Linked DNA regions of Diceros bicornis minor. The protein of the gene in region 2 interacts with the protein of the main gene of each other region in a pairwise test. Links are inferred from orthologs where the notes say so. Each region holds a gene or a part of one and is shown on either strand. Other genes may lie near its edges.

The links. The genes of interacting proteins can lie anywhere in the genome.
Region 1: the proteins of LMNA (region 2) and ZSCAN12 interact in binary tests that used the Homo sapiens proteins (3 or more experiments, as listed by UniProt). The link is inferred for Diceros bicornis minor from reciprocal best matches to the Homo sapiens genes LMNA and ZSCAN12.

Annotation. Positions count from the first base shown.
Region 1 is NC_080753.1:38,485,194-38,493,169, reverse strand, and holds the start of ZSCAN12 (zinc finger and SCAN domain-containing protein 12), read right to left. Parts: upstream 3,001-7,976; 5' UTR 2,859-3,000; intron 1,993-2,858; 5' UTR 1,924-1,992; coding exon 1,501-1,923; intron 1-1,500. UniProt on the Homo sapiens protein: May be involved in transcriptional regulation.
Region 2 is NC_080743.1:59,724,830-59,732,492, reverse strand, and holds the start of LMNA (lamin), read right to left. Parts: upstream 3,012-7,663; 5' UTR 2,786-3,011; intron 1-2,785. Other genes in the region: RNA-binding protein MEX3A, read left to right, coding at 3,955-4,408.

The sequences.
Region 1 (7,976 bases), on a different chromosome or scaffold from region 2:
AGATATTCAATAAATATCTGAACGAATGAACTCTCCCCCAATCCACTTCTTCTACAGTCTTGAACTCTGTTAGGAGTGTCTTCATTACGCTAGTCTTTCAAGCTTGAAATCCTTAGTGCACAGCCTAGAAGAGATTGCTTAGTAAAGAGTTTTCCGTTCATTCTTCCTTCTTCATACATCTAAGTTGTCATCATTTCCAGTTAATTCTTACCTAAGACATGCCTCATCTTTTGTAACCACACTTTCATAACTCTATTTCAAACTTAGATCTTTTTGCCACATACTCCTTCCCTCTCCAGTCTATTTTGTACCCCAACGTTAGATTACACTTTTTGTTTTATTATCTCACTGTTTCATACTCTTTATACCAAGGGTTCCTAGCCTTGGGTCTATTGACAAGTTGGGTCAGATAATTCTCCTTTGTATAAGGCTGTCCTGGGCCAGCCCCGTTGCTTAGCGGTTAAGTGCGCGCGCTCCGCTGCTGGCGGCCCGGGTTCGGATCCCAGGCGCACACCGACGCACTGCTTCTCCAGCCATGCTGAGGCCGCGTCCCACATACAGCAACTAGAAGGTTGTGCAACTATCTACTGGGGCTTTGGGGGAAAAATAAATAAATAATTATTTCAAAAAAAAAAAAAGGCTGTCCTATGCATTGTAAGATGTTTAGCAGCATCCCTGCCCTTTAGCAACTGTATGCCCCCATTATGACAACCAAAAATGTCCCAAGATACTGCCAAATGCCCTCTGGGGCACAAAATTGCCACTGGCTGAGAACCACTGCCTTTTATCAATGTTAAAACAAAACAAAAAGGTCCTACATAATTTGGTTCTCTTTCATATCTTGGGTTTAATAAAGCTCATTTAGACTCAAAGAGAAAAGGTTAGGAGTCTCTGTCCTACAGAATAAAATCTAAACTCCAGGGGCTGATATTCAAGGTCCTGGACTGTCTGTTTTCAACTCTTCTCACAACTCACCTTTCCAACCTAACTAGGCTTTCTACCACTCAAACAAACATGGATCCTCCAACCTGCCCCTCCCTCCTAACTTTCTACTCTGCTCCCATATCTCATTCCTCTGAGATGGTGATTAACTTCTCCACCTTTTATTCCTTTAATGGAGACAGGGCAGTGGATATATCTGCAAAACCTTATTTCTTAATTATTTGTATTGAGCAACAGAAGTGATGCCCCTTTCAAGAGGCTGCTGTCATCTCTCTAACATTTTCTCTCTGTCCTAGAAGACTTCTGTTTCTAAATCTTCTGTTTCTAATGTTTCTGAGCAGCATTTTATCAGAGAATTTTGTAGCTTAGTACAGAAATACATGATCCTTCCACAGAAAAGGTATAATTAAGTTAGGACTACATTAACCAGTTTTTCATGACACTCAGGCCCCTTTCTGATGCACCAAAGTGTCAAGACCACACTTTACTGTACTTCACTCTGGCCTAGAAATCCATAATTCATCTTTTCTCAAACAGAAACCACATCTGTTTCCTCACCTGATATCCTGGCTCATCCAACTCTCTCTCTAAATCCTCCAGCACAGTCACCACCTCTTCCCCACTCTCTGGATGCTGTTCCTGCACCCAGGCTTGGAGCTCCTCGGGCAGGATGGTCAAGAATTGTTCCAGCACCAGGAGCTCCAGGATCTGCTCTTTGGTGTGGGTCTCCGGCCTCAGCCACTGACGGCAAAGTTCCCGCAGTCGACTCAAAGCCTCACGGGGTCCAGATGTTTCCTGGTAGCAGAATTGCCTGAAGTACTGTCGGAAGACCTCTCTGCTATGCATGTTGTTCTTTTGCAGGTTCTGATCCTGTCTGGTGGTATCCTTATATTCCTCCTCCCTCTGCTCCTCCTCCTCTATCTTTACTTCCAAAAGTTCATCCTGGTCCTTGCCGGCCTGGAGAGCCCAAGTAGATGCCATCACAGCTTTGCAAAAGCTGTATCAGTGCTTCAAGCAAGATCTCCAGTGGTAAGTTTCTTCCTGGGTGGACTTGAGGAAGAAGCCATCATTGTTAACACAAATTACACCATAGTCAAAAATTGCCAATTCTAAGAATTTAAATACGTGCTTTGAAACCCGCCTCCAGGTTAATTTACTATACTCAGGGAAATACTTTGATAAAAAAGATTTAATAGACTAATTTAAAGAGAAAGATTAGGTAAAAGGTGTTAAGTTGTTTCAGGACTTGAAGAAGAAAGAGTAAGACTTGGTAGGAACATTTCCCTTTAGTTCTAGAAAAAGGACAATTAAATGGAATAAAACCAACATTCAGAGCAAATAAACAATGATAATAAAAAGTTGAGACATCCTTGATTAGCTGTTTTTATTTTTTAAATGCCCAGATGTCTGGTGAAAACCATGATGTCATGAAACAGCAAAGTCACATGAATTTACTCCCTCGGGAACTGAATCTCTCCGCTCCTCATTCTTCATTTATAAAGCGAAAAGGCTGGAGATGGTGATCTTTAAGGCCCTCCTCTACCCTCACATTCTATGATTCTAAATCTGAAGTAAGGCAAGCCCAGGAAAGGGGCCCTAGGCCGCCGGTCGGCGTCTGAGACCCAGGAAGGTCCAGAAATGTCGGGAGGCGCCGAACTGAGAAGGGTACACGGCCCGAGGCGCAGCCGGACTCCGCAGAGACCGAGGGCGGGCCCCTCAGCCCCGGGTTTCCGACCCACCCTCCGAGGGAGGAGGGATGGCCTCTGTGTTCGGGAGCTTGTCGCGGACCCGCCCGGGCCGGCGAGAACCGGAGGGCGCCCCGCTCCAGCCTGGGCCGGCCGGAGGGGCCCAGGCGCAAGAACGCCGTGATATCCCGCCCCCCACGCCCCGCCGCGGCCGAGCACAGGCTCGCTCACCAGCAGCCCCGGAGCCAGCAGAGGAGTCCCTCCTCCCGGGACTACGGGCCGAGGCCTCGAACCCCTTCGGAAGCCAGAACCCAAGAAGAGCGACCCACAAAGGCCGCAACGGCGCCCAAGCACGAAGGGCCGGCTAGCCGGGTCGGCGCGTAGTGCACTTCCGCCGCTGCTCTAAGAAGGAGGAGGGAGGGGCTCTCCACTCGGTCGTCGTCCCCCCACCCCCGCCCCGCCCTCGCGAGAGGACGGCTGAGGATTCTAAGGCCTGCGGTTACACGGAAGTGTCTTCTGTTTCTCCTCCTGTGTGCCTGGTTGTTATCCCCGCTTCCCCTGACCCGAAGGGTGGTCGAGACTTGCAAGTCGATCTGAAATAGGCAAATCCCATGCTGCTTCACTCTCATTTTTATTTGGGTTTCTGCACCTTTGAGGTTCAAGGTGCCTCAAAGGGATGTTCTCCCCAAGTCCTTCCCGACTCAGCAAGGCTTCACGATGATGAAGGGACCAAGATTTTCTACACACGCTAATCAAGGGGCAACCTGGTGGTTTCTGCCTGCTGTTTCACCTTCAATGATTCTCCTCATGTTCTCTTTTATGCGTTGATATGATTATATATCCGAAAACCCACGGAGTTCAATGGGAAAACTACATAAAAAAGATCATTTAGTAAAGCAGCAAGATATAAAATTAACATACTAAAATCAATTATCTTCATATATGCAAATGACCAGTGATAAACAGTTACAAGATATAATGGAAGACTGTATTTATAATAGCAACAACCAAAATTACTAGGAACAAACTTAATCAGAAATGTGCAAAACCTATATGGGGAAAACTTTTTTAAAAAACTCTGGAAGTGCCAAGTGTAAACTTAAACAAATAGAAAGCCATATGCTGTTCTTGGCTAAAAAGACTCAATAAAGAGGTCAATCTATAATAAAAGTATCAACACATTCTGTTGTAGAATTAGACAAATTAATTTATAAAGTTTGGGAAAATAAGAATAGCCGTGAAACCCCTTGAAAAAGAACAAAGGGGAGGGACAACCTTATCAGATGTTAGAACATATTATAAAGCCTCTACAGTTTAGAGCGGGATATGGTGCATGAACAGACAGAGAGAATAGACCCAAAATAAAGCCAGGTACATATGGATATTTAGTATATGGTGATGATGGGATCTCACATCAAATGGGGAAATGAAGGACATACAAATAAGTTGTATTGGGACAACTAATAGACATTTAGTCAAAGGTAAAATTAGATTAATATCTCCCACCACACATCACAACCGGGGTAGATTCCAAATGTGGAATTTATTTTACGTTTTTACACAAATGTAAAAAATATGCTCAGACATGTATTAGAAGAAACATAATAATTCTAACACCTAGAAACAGGGTAATCTTATCTAACCATGATTCAAAATTCAAAAGCAACAAAAAATATTGATAAATCTAACTAAATAAAAATAAATGTAATGCTTGTCAAAAAACATCATAAAGAAGTCAAAGACAAATGACAGGAAAAATGTTTGCAATGTATCACAAACGGCTAATATCCCTAATATATAATGAGCTACTAAAATATTTCCTAAAAAGAGAATAACCCAATGGAGAAAATGGACAAAAGAAATGAACAGTTGGCAGAATAAGAAATTGTAGCAGCCTTCAAACATCTATAAATATGCTCAAATTCACTCAAAATATAGAAATACAAATTAAAAACTACACTGAGGTGCCATTAGTCATTTTATTGTATTGGCAGAAAAATCCAGAAGTTTGACAATATACTCTATTCATGAGAAAAGATGCACTCTCATACATTCCTGATGGGAATACAAAATGGTACAACCTCTATTTGGAAAAGTAATAATATATAGCAAAATTACATATGTAAGTTCACCCTTTTTCCCTGCAATATCACTGCTAGAAATCCACCCCAAAGATATATTGACAAAAATAGGAACTGACATATATGCACAACGTTATTCATTGAGGCATTCAAGCCAAAGACCAGAAACAAACCAAATGTCCATCAATAGTAGACTGACTGAATAAACTATGACATTTCTACCTAGTAGAATACTAGGTAGCTATAAAAAGAAATGAGAAATATCTTGATGTACCGCTATGGAGTGATTGACAGGTGTTTATAGTATACTACCTGTGGTAGGCAGAACAATGATACCCCCAAAATGTATACTCCTAATCCCCAAAACCTGTGAGTATATTTTGTTACATAGCAAGGGGGAATTAAGGTTGCAGATAGAATAAATGTTGCTAATCAACTGACCTTAAGATAGGTTTTCATAATTCAGGACCAACTTTTTGTTTGTTTCAATAAAACTTGATTTATGGACATTGAAATTTGAATTCAATGTAATTTTCTCATATCACAAAATATTATGCTTCTTTTGATTTTTTAAAATTAAATTTTTATTTTAATATAATTGTAGATTCACATGCGTTGTAAGAAATAATGCAGAGAGATCCTATTTACTCCTTACCAACTTTCCACGGTTAGTAACATTTTGCAGAACTATAGTACAATGTTACAACCAGAATATTTACATGGATAGAGTCAAGATACAGAACATTTCCATCACTACCAGAATCCCTTTTATCAACACAGCCACTTCCCTCTCACCCCCATCTTCTGATTAACTCCTGGCAACCAGGACTCTGTTCTCTACTTTTATAATTTTGCCATGTCAAGAATGTTATATAAATGGAATCATACAATGTGTAACCTTTTCAGATTGACTTTTTCCATTCAGCATAATTCTCTGGAGAATCATTCCGATTGTTCCATGTATCAATGATTCATTCCTTTTCATTGCTGAATTGTGTTCTCACTGGGTTGTTTCCAGTTTTTGGCTATTACAAACAAAGCTGCTCTCAACATTCCTGTACAGGTTTTTGTGTGTCTTCATTTCTCTGGGATAAATGCCTAAAAGTGCAATTGCTGGGGTCATGTAGTAGTTGCATGCTTAGCTTTTAAATAAACTACCAACCACTTACTATATGGCTGTGTTATTTTACATTCCCATCAGCAATGTATTAGTGTCTCCTATTTCTCTACATCCTCACAGCATTTGGTGGTGTCACTCTTTCTTATTTTAGCCTTTCCAATAGTTGTGCTATTTTACTGTGGTTTTAATTTGCATTTCCCTAATGGCAAATGATTTTAAACATCATTTTATATTTTATATGTTCATTTGCCATCAATATATCTTTGGTAAATGTCTCTTCATGTCCTTTGCCCAAGTTCTAACTGGATTGTTTGCTTTTTTACTACTGAGGTTTGAAAACTCCTTATGTATTCTAGATACTAGTCCTTTGATATATGGTTTGCCAATATCTTCTCCTGTTCCGTAGCTTGTCTCTTCATCCTCTTAACAGGGTATTTCACTGAGCAAAACTTTTTAATTTTGATGAAGTCCAATTTACCAAATTTTCCCTTTATGGATTGTGCTTCTAGTGTCAAGTCTAAGAACCCCTCGTTCTTAAACCCTAATATTTAATCCTATGTTTGTTCTAAAACCTTTATAGTTTTGTTTTACATCTTAGTCTGTGATCCATTTTGAGTTAATTTTTGTATAAGATGTGGCACTTGGATCAAGGTTTTTGTTTTTGTGTTTTTTTAGTCTATGGATTTCCACTTGCTCCAGCACTATTTGTTGAAAAACATACCTATCCTCCATTGAACGCTTTTGTACCTTTGACAAAAATCAGTTGGGCATATTTGTGTGGATCTAGTTCTCAGTTCTCCAGTCTGCTCCGTTGATCTATGTGTCTATCCTCCACCAATACCACATCCCTTCATTACTATACTAGTTATATGAAGTCTTAAATCAAGTAGACTGATTCCATACACTTTATTTTTGTTTTTCAAATCATTTTAGCTATTTTGGTTGCTTTGCCTTTCTGTGTAAATTTTAGAATAATTTTGTTTGTATTTACAAAAAGTCTTGCTGAGATTTTGCTAGGAATTGCAATAAACTTGTATGTTAATTTGGGGGAAATTGTCATCTTTATTGTATTGAGTCTTCCAATCCATGAACACGGTCTCTCCACTTATTTAGACCCTCTTTGTTTTCTTTCTTCAGCATTTGGATTTACACTTAAGTATTTTCTTTTTTTTTTGAGTCACTGTAAATAGTATTGTATTACTAATTTTAGTGTCCATGTGTTCATTGCTAGTATATAGAAATACAATTGAGTTTTGTATGTTGATCTTGTATTCTGCAAACTTGCTGAACTCACTTATTGGTTTAGGAGTTTTTTATAGATTCCTTGGGATTCTCTAAGTATATAATCATGTCATCTGCAAATAGGGATTGTTTTTTTTTTTTGTTCTGTATGACTTTAATTTCCTTTTCTTGCCTTATTGCACTAAAACTTCCTGCTCTACTTTGAATGAGAGTGGTGATATTGGAAATTCTTGCAATGTTCCTTGTTTTAGGAGGAATGTATTCAATATTTCACCAGTAAGTATAATGTTTGCTGTAGGGTTTTTTTGCAGATACTCTTTAACAATTTGAGGGAAGTTCCCCTTTATTCCTAATTGCTTTTTTTAAAAATCATAAATAGGCATTGGATATTGTCAAATGCTGTTTCTGCATCAATTGATATGATTTTTTCTTCTTTAGCAATTTCACGTGGCAGATTACATTAACTGATTTTCAAATGTTGAACCGTCTTTGCATACTTGGAATAAGTCTCACTTTGTCATGATATATAAATTATTTTTATGTATTATTGGATTCAATTTGGTAATATTTTGTGGAGGATTTTTACATCTATGTTCAAGAGAAATACTGGTCTATAATTTTCCTTTATGCAATGTCTTTATCTGGTTTTGTTATTAGGGTAATTTTGGCCTCATAGAATAAGTTATCCAGTGTTTATACTACTTATATTTTCTGGAATAGATTGTGGAGTATTGGTATCATTTCTTCCTTAAATGTTTGGTAGAATTCACCAGTGAAACCATCTGCACCTGATGCAGAGGTTTTCGGAAGGTTACTAAAGATTGATTCAATTTCTTTAATATGTAGGCCTATTCAGATAATCTACTTCTCCTCGTGTGAGTTTTGGGAGTTTGTGTCTTTCAAGAA
Region 2 (7,663 bases):
CTCTTGCACATAGACACACACTGCACATACAACCAACTCAAAAACTCCACAGCGTCCTCTGATCCTCAGGCCTGAGGCCAGGAGCCTGGCCGGTGTGTGTGTGTGCGCGCGCGTGTCTGAGAGAGAGTGAGAGAGAGAAAGAGAGAGAGAGAGAGAGAGTTCACCTGCATTCCAGTGCTCAACAGGAATTATTTTTGGAATTATCTGCTGTTTGTTTTGGATGATCTTATTTCTGCAAGTGTAGATTTAGAACTGACTTCAAGTGACTCACAGTGGGTCAGGATCTCCTCCAGCGCCTAGCACATCCTAAGCACTCAATAGGAGGTGGTTAGCTGAATGAATTAATGAAAATTAATTAATGAAGACCACAGTCTAGCTAAAGTCAACTGCAAAGGGAGAACAACCGGAGCTGGAAAACTAACACTGACTGAACACCTAAGCGGAGCCAGGCACCGCGCTAGGGACTTGGCTTATTATTTCCATTTTAGAGATGAGGAAACTGAGACTCATTGGGAAATGCTTGCCCAAGGAGCAGAACTAAGAAGCAGCATGTTTGGCTCTGAGGCCTCCTCCTTCCTCTTACACCTTGAAGCTTCGAACATGCAGTTACACTCCACACACCTTTACTGAGCATCTGCTCTGGGCAGGGGCATGTGCTGGGCACTGGGAGGCCAGGGTGGGGGACAATGACAAAGATGAGAGACACAGTCTTCTCCTCCAAGGGTCTTGAAGAGGAGAGATATGCCACTACACAACTTTGTGGTCATAAGGCAGAGAGTGAGGGGTGGGGTGGAGTGGGCACAGCTGTCTGTTTCCAAGCAAAATTGTTTAGGTAAGGCGTTTGGCCCTCACGCCTTAATTCTAGACTGAGCAGGCAGGGGGAGGGAGGAAGAGGAGGGCCCATGGACAGAAACCTAGCTTGGCCAACACAAGTCACCTCCACAAAGGAGGCCACTGGCCTCTGGGAGCGAGGCAAGGACACATCAAAACCCCCCCTGAGAACCCGGCTCCTCAAGGTGCCCACCCTCGGGCTCCTCCACCACCTTCGCGCTCTGGTAGTCCCGGCGGTGGTGGATATACCCCCACAATCTGCAGGCACACACTCCCATGTGTCTGCCCACGCCACAGACCTAAGTGCTCACACACAGCCTGCCCTCTACGTGCCAGGTCCCGCTCGCCTCTCCTGCCTTGGATATCTGTCTGGAGTCGCAGCGGGACACCGAGGGTGGACACGTGGCAAAAGAACGCACCCAGGGGGCTGATTTGTCCTTGCTGGATCAGTGAGGGGGGTCCAGCAGGGACCGCAGCCTCCCCACCCCACCCCTCAGTCTACCCCTTCCCACTCAGCAGCTGTCCCCCTCCCCGCTCGCACACACTTGTTTCTGTCCTTTGTTTTCCTCCCCAGCCAAATCCCCAAGGCTTCTTTGGTCATTAACCTCCCGCTTTAATTAGCTTAGTGGGGAGGAAAGTGGAAGCAGGGCAAATTCAGGGGTGGGTGTCTAGAGGGACAGGAAGGCTCAGACCAACTGGAGACAAAAATGCCTGGCACACAATCAGTCCTGTGCAACTGTTGGCTATTTCTATTAATGTGAAAACCAGTTCCCTGGTCCACAGAGCAGGAACCTTACCCCAACGAGAGCCCCACAGTCCCGAGTACCACAGTTCCCCCAATCCAGGTTCCTGGGGCAGAAGGAAAGGGAACGAGAGTAGGGACAGCCCACTCCCACAGGGCCTTGTCTCTCCAATTCTTCCTCTCCTGCTCTTGCTTGGTGGCGGTAGCGCCCAATCCCACAATAAGGTTTGTAGTTAATCTTATGTTAAATCCATGATCCAGAGGGGACCCTTCCCCAACTCTGGGGCCTTCTGGGGTTCCTCAGTCATGGCTCCCCTTCCCTGATCTTCTGCCTAGCAAAGGAGCAAGAGCCAACCCCCAACCCCTCCTGAGATCCTCCACCTTGGCTCCCACCCTCCCATTGGTGTGCAAATTTCTTCTTTCCAAGAATCAATTTAGGGAACTGGGCTTCGCAGTTCAGCCCTCAAGGCCTCACAGTGCCAGGTCTATGAGGTCATCTCATCTGTTCCCCTGCCTCCAAGCAGGACTTTACCTCACAAACTAGCTCAGATTTTTGGTTTCCAAGGCACTCCAGAAAAGGACAGCTTACCACTGTAGCTCACCCACCCATTCGTATAAAACTCTTCTTGGGAAGTTCTTCTTAAAGTCTGATCTCAAGCCCTCAAGCTGCAGTGCTATCCTTTCTCCTCTTGGGAAAGACCCAGGCATAAAAAGGGTGACAAAAAATAAATGCTGAAGATATGGGCTAAGGGGAGAAGAAAAGATTGCATTACACTCCAACTTCCCCAAACTCCCCCTAAAAGTACCCAACTGTCCATTTCATGCCTTAAAAACTTATTTTTACTTTCACCAATTTCCAGAGTCAAAGAAGCTGAATTAATGGGTTTCCAATGGGGGAGACATGGGCGAGGCAAAGTGGAATGATGATGGAGGTTAAGGAACAGATCACCTCCAAGCTGTATGCATGGCCCAGGCCTGAAGGAAGTCTGGGTCCTCAGTCGATCCCGTGTCTCCTCCCTCCTGTCGCACTCAAAGCTTATGGCTCTCACCCGAAACTGTTAAGTCACATCATGCCTTTAAGACTTCCCCTGCCTCCTCGCTCTCTGCCCCCCACTTCTCTCCTCTCCCTCCACTCCCTCATCCTCCTCACCTCATCACTCCACAGCCCTCCCAGCTCCCCTCCGCTGATCAGAAGGACGTGAACTAACTCACCTCCCAGTCGGTGCCTCTCAGATCTCCGAGACTGGGGGGCGGGAGGGGATGAGGGGGGATGGCTTGCCGCTTGAGGATGAGAGGACCCCGTCTTTTGCCAGGGGGTCCCACCCTCCAGCCTGGCACCGCATTCTGGTCCCCACAGCGCGCAGAGCCGGGTTCTCCCCGCATCGCGGTTGCGGGCTTTGTCTGCTTTGCGGAGAACCTCTCCCCGCGGCCCCGAGCCGGGATCGACTCTGGAAGAGCGGGAGGGGGAGAGCGGAGAGGGAGCGCAGCAGGGAGGGGGAAGAGGGTAAAGACAGAGAAAGCCGCAGTGACCCAGCCGGGACTGCTCCCCCCCCTCTCGCCCCCCCTCATTATCATAAGAAAGAGGGACCCAAGACTGGCCGGGATCCGGAGAGAGCCCGTCTTGGGAGAGGGGCGCGCTCCATTAGCCTTTTTTCAATCCGTTCCTTTTCTGTACACTGATTCCTCTCCCGTGCCCGCGCCTTGGAAAAATTAGGGACCTCGACTTCCATCCCACCCCCAGCTTTGCCTCCGAGCCGTGGTTAAAGACCGAAGGCAGATCCCTATCCTCCTCGGGTCAAGGAATTCGTCCCTGCGCCCCCGAGAGCGGGAAACTACAACTCCCGGCATGCCCCGGGCGCCCCCGGCGCGCCCCCCTCCCGTCAGTTCCATGCTGCTCCATCCAGTTCATTTAAAACAAAAGAGTTTGAGCGCTGGAAGGGGCTGGGCTCTATTGGGGGCCACTGAGCGCCGCTCCTGGACTGGGGCTCGGTACGGGAGCCTAACGGGGGCGTCTGGACGGCGGGGTCTAGAGACTCCCGGGTCCGAGGCGGGAGGGGTGGGGGCAGAGATCCCGCAGCCCCCCGCCCCCCGTCAGCCCCGGAGAGGAGAGGAGATCTGCCTTCTGGGTTTTGCTTCTCTTTCCCCCCACCCCCACCCTGGGGGCTGGGGCGAGGGGAGTCGGGTTACAGGGTGTTTGGGGAGGGGGGCTTAGGGGGAGGGTCTATCTTTCTATCTCGCTTTCTTCCCCCCTCCCCAGTTCTTTGTTCCCCCTCCCCACACACCCCCCTCCTCTCCTCTCCCCTCCCCTCCTCTCTCCTCTTTTCCCTTCCACCACCTCTCTCTCTCTCCCTCTCTCTCTCTCCCCCAGCTTTTGTTTCGCCATGCCTAGTCTAGTGGTATCTGGAATAATGGAAAGAAATGGGGGCTTTGGAGAACTAGGATGTTTCGGGGGAAGCGCTAAGGACCGAGGGCTGCTGGAAGACGAGCGCGCCCTTCAGCTGGCTCTCGATCAACTCTGCCTCCTGGGTTTGGGGGAGCCCCCCGCCCCCACGGCGGGCGAGGACGGGGGAGGTGGGGGGGGCGGCGCCCCCGCGCCGCAGGCCGCCCCCCCGCAGCCGGCCCCGCCGCCGCCGCCGGCGGCGCCCCCGGCCGCCCCGACGGCGGCCCCCGCGGCGCAGACGCCCCAGCCCCCCACCGCCCCCAAAGGGACCAGCGATGCCAAGCTCTGCGCTCTCTACAAAGAGGCCGAGCTGCGCCTAAAGGGCAGCAGCAACACCACCGAGTGTGTACCCGTGCCCACCTCCGAGCACGTGGCCGAGATCGTGGGCAGGCAAGGTAAGCGGGCGCCCGGACCGCGGAGAGGGACTGGAGTGGGGGGCACCCCATCCTAGCGCAGAAAGTTCATTTCCTCTCTCCTTGCCTGCCTCTGGCTCGGTCCCTTCCCCACAAAGGGGGACCCGCCCCCTACCCTGATTTCCAAGTGCCACAAAGTTCCCTGCTACCCCCAGTCGGGACTGTCCTCCAGATCTTTCCTCCCCCAGGGCTCTGCCCTTAGACAAAGAAATATCCTCTCATAGAGAGAGGGAAAAGGGAGGGGGAATCGGTCTCCCAATCCAGGGAGGCTGTCCGGAGGGGGTGTCCACTCCCAGCCGGAAAAACTGGTGGAATGTGCAGAGAGTTACTCAGAAGCCCCTACTCTGATATCTGAGAGTGGGTTGGGGAGGGGGCACCCCTGGGACCTTCAGCCACCTGGAGTTACAGACTTGGAGGGAGACCTGGCCCGGGAAGCCAGATTATCTGTCTCTTTGTTGGGCTAAGTGTAGGAATGGAAGGGGGTGTGGCTCATGGGAGGGTCCCAGCCAGGGGGAGAGGTGGGGAGGGGGCTGCTGGGAGGAGGGAGTCCTGTGGTCACCCACACACCAAAGTTGAACGGTCTGTGAGGTTTTGGAAGGGGTGCCTCCAACGAAGTGCCACGTCCTGGCGTGGACCTCTCCTCCTCCCTCTCAAGCTTTTGTTCTGGGCTGGCCACGGCCAGGGGCCAGAGGCCTGGAGAGGGGGTCTCTGGTCCTGAGAGAGTAGGACAGAGTGGGGGGGGGTCATGCTGGGGGGTAAGAAACCTTTCCCTGGAGGTTTGGTGGAGGGTGTGTGTCTGTCTGGGTGTGTTGTTGGGTGAGGGGGTGTAGAATTAATCCAGTGTAGTATGTCTGATACCACACCCTCCTCCGTTCCAGCATCTCTGGGCTAGTGGGGGTGGGAGTGTTGGTGAGGGTCCAGACTGAGCAGAGGGGGTCTTGGGGACCCTTCCCTCTCCTGGTTTCCCAAAGGGGAGTGTGTGGGGGGTGGGATTTGGCAATTGCAAGGGGGCTGGGCTGGGGAGGTGTTGGGTGGGGGAGGAGCAGGGGAGGAGCTGTCCCACCGTGGGGAACAATAGAGGAGCTGCATTCCGGCTGTGAGTGAGGGAGGAGGCCGGCTGCTGGCAGGGGAAGAGGGGAGGCGAGCCAGGGGGCCCCTTACTCCACATCCCACCTCATCTACCCGGAGTGCTGGGGGTTGGGGGGATTTTGCAGGGAGATCCGGAATGGAGGAGGGGAAGATGCCACTCCCCTGCACAGCCCTCATCCCCCTGGGGCACTCCATCTCTTGAGATTTCTGGTTTAAAAAGTTGGATTTCCTCTTGTTGCCAGAAACTAGGGACCCAGAGCCCTGGAATTGGGTGGGGACACTGATATCTTTTCTTGGATGTGGTGGTGATCTTGGGAGGCCCCAGAATTTCATGGAGTCATTCTTTCCTCTTCTGCCTCCGCATCAGATGGGCCTGTCTCTCATAAAAGTAGGGGGATTTCTCCTATTCAGAGAAGATAAACCGCCCCCTCATTCCTTAAGTCTATGGAAGTACTCCCTCTTGTCTAACCTCCCTCCTCCTGCTGCAGTGTCAGTGCTCCTCTATTTGACCTCCAGGAAGGTGAAGCCCAGTGAGTCTTCCCTTCAAAAGATGCTTCTTCAGAGTTTTGAAACCCAGGCTGAGGTCCACCATCAGTTCTGCACCTCCGGGCCTCTAGCTTTTCTCCTTCCTCTTATGCCTGAGCTGTCCTCCTCACCCCAGCCCCAACCCCCAAAGACACCTAGCTCTCACTTAAATTTATGGACCCAAAACTTAGTGCCAGAACCCAGGTGCCTATCAGATGCCATGTGAGCAGAAGTTGTAGGCAAGAGGACTTCACTGTTCCTCAACCCTCCATGCCTCACAAATGGAACAATCATTTACTGACAGTAAAGCAGCAGGGATGTGGGTTTGACAACAGGTAGGACTTCTCAACTGCCAAGAGGTCTGAAGACAAAAAGGGGGGAGCAAATTCTCTTTCCTGAGGTCTCTTGAAGGTGAGGAGAGCTGCCCTCAACCTACTCTATCCTCCCACCTGCAAATCTGGTAGAGTTGGAGAGGAAGCCATCTGGAGTGGAGGAAGGAGAGGGAAAAAATGAGCTCACCTCAGGCCTGTGGTTGGAGGGTTGGGGCAGAGTCAGAAAACTAGGACTACTGGCGTTGGTTTTGGGGGGGGATAGGTAGTGTGGTGGGGGAGTGAGAAGGGGAATGGTGAGTATGTACCTGGAGAGAGGTGTGAACGTGTCTGGTTGTGAATGGGGGCAAAAGTAGTGGGCGTGTATAGGAATGTGCTGTTTGTGTGCTGGGGATGATGGGGATGGAAGAGTGGGAAGTGTGAAAGGTTGAAACGCGGGGAATCCGTGTGTGTTTGTGTATGTGTGTGTGAAAGGGGTGTGTGAAAGTGTGTATTAGGCTTGCACCACAAGTATTGTTTAGGTAAAGGCACACAGTGCCTCACAGCTCTTAGGTCCGTGTGCGCGCGCGCACACACACACACACATGTGGCATGTGTGCTTTGAGAAAGCGTGTGAGTCTCTGAGGCTCTGTGAAGCTCGGGGCAGGGAGAGGGAATGTGGGAAAAGAGGAGAGAGGCTTGTCCAGTCAGCCATTGAGGTCTGCAACCTTTAGTGATGGTATGGCCATCCCAGCCTCCCTCACTCTTCTCTTTCCCCTTCTCTCTCTTTGTTTCTCTTTGTCTCGGCTTTCTTCTTTCTCTTCCTGCCTCTCTCCCCAACCTCCCAGCTTTAACCCACTCCTACTTCAAAGCAGGAGTATAGGTCCAGAATACCTTCCCCCTCAGCCCTGCTCAGCCCCAGCCCATGTCAGCTCTCCTGCCCCCAGGGGGACAGGGTGGCAGGAGTGTCCATAAGGTCTGGTGCTGTCCCTCACAAGTCATTATCTTTAACTTCATACTCCTCCTTTCTCCCTTGAAACTCTGATTCTCAGACCCTTCCCAGTCTCCCACCTCCACTAGTTGCTGCAAACTTGCTATGAATTTGGGACCCACTGAGAGACACTAATGGGCGGAAGGCACGGGGGCGTGGATCACAGAGCAGATGGGGGTCAGGGGTCCCTGAGTAGATTGGAGGACACTTGTAGTGAATGGAGGTCAAGTGAGGAGTGGATTGTGGAGTCACTGAGTGCCTTGGGGTTCTGTGGGAAGATCATGGTCAGTGACAGATTGGCAGGGGTGATTAAGTGATTTGGAA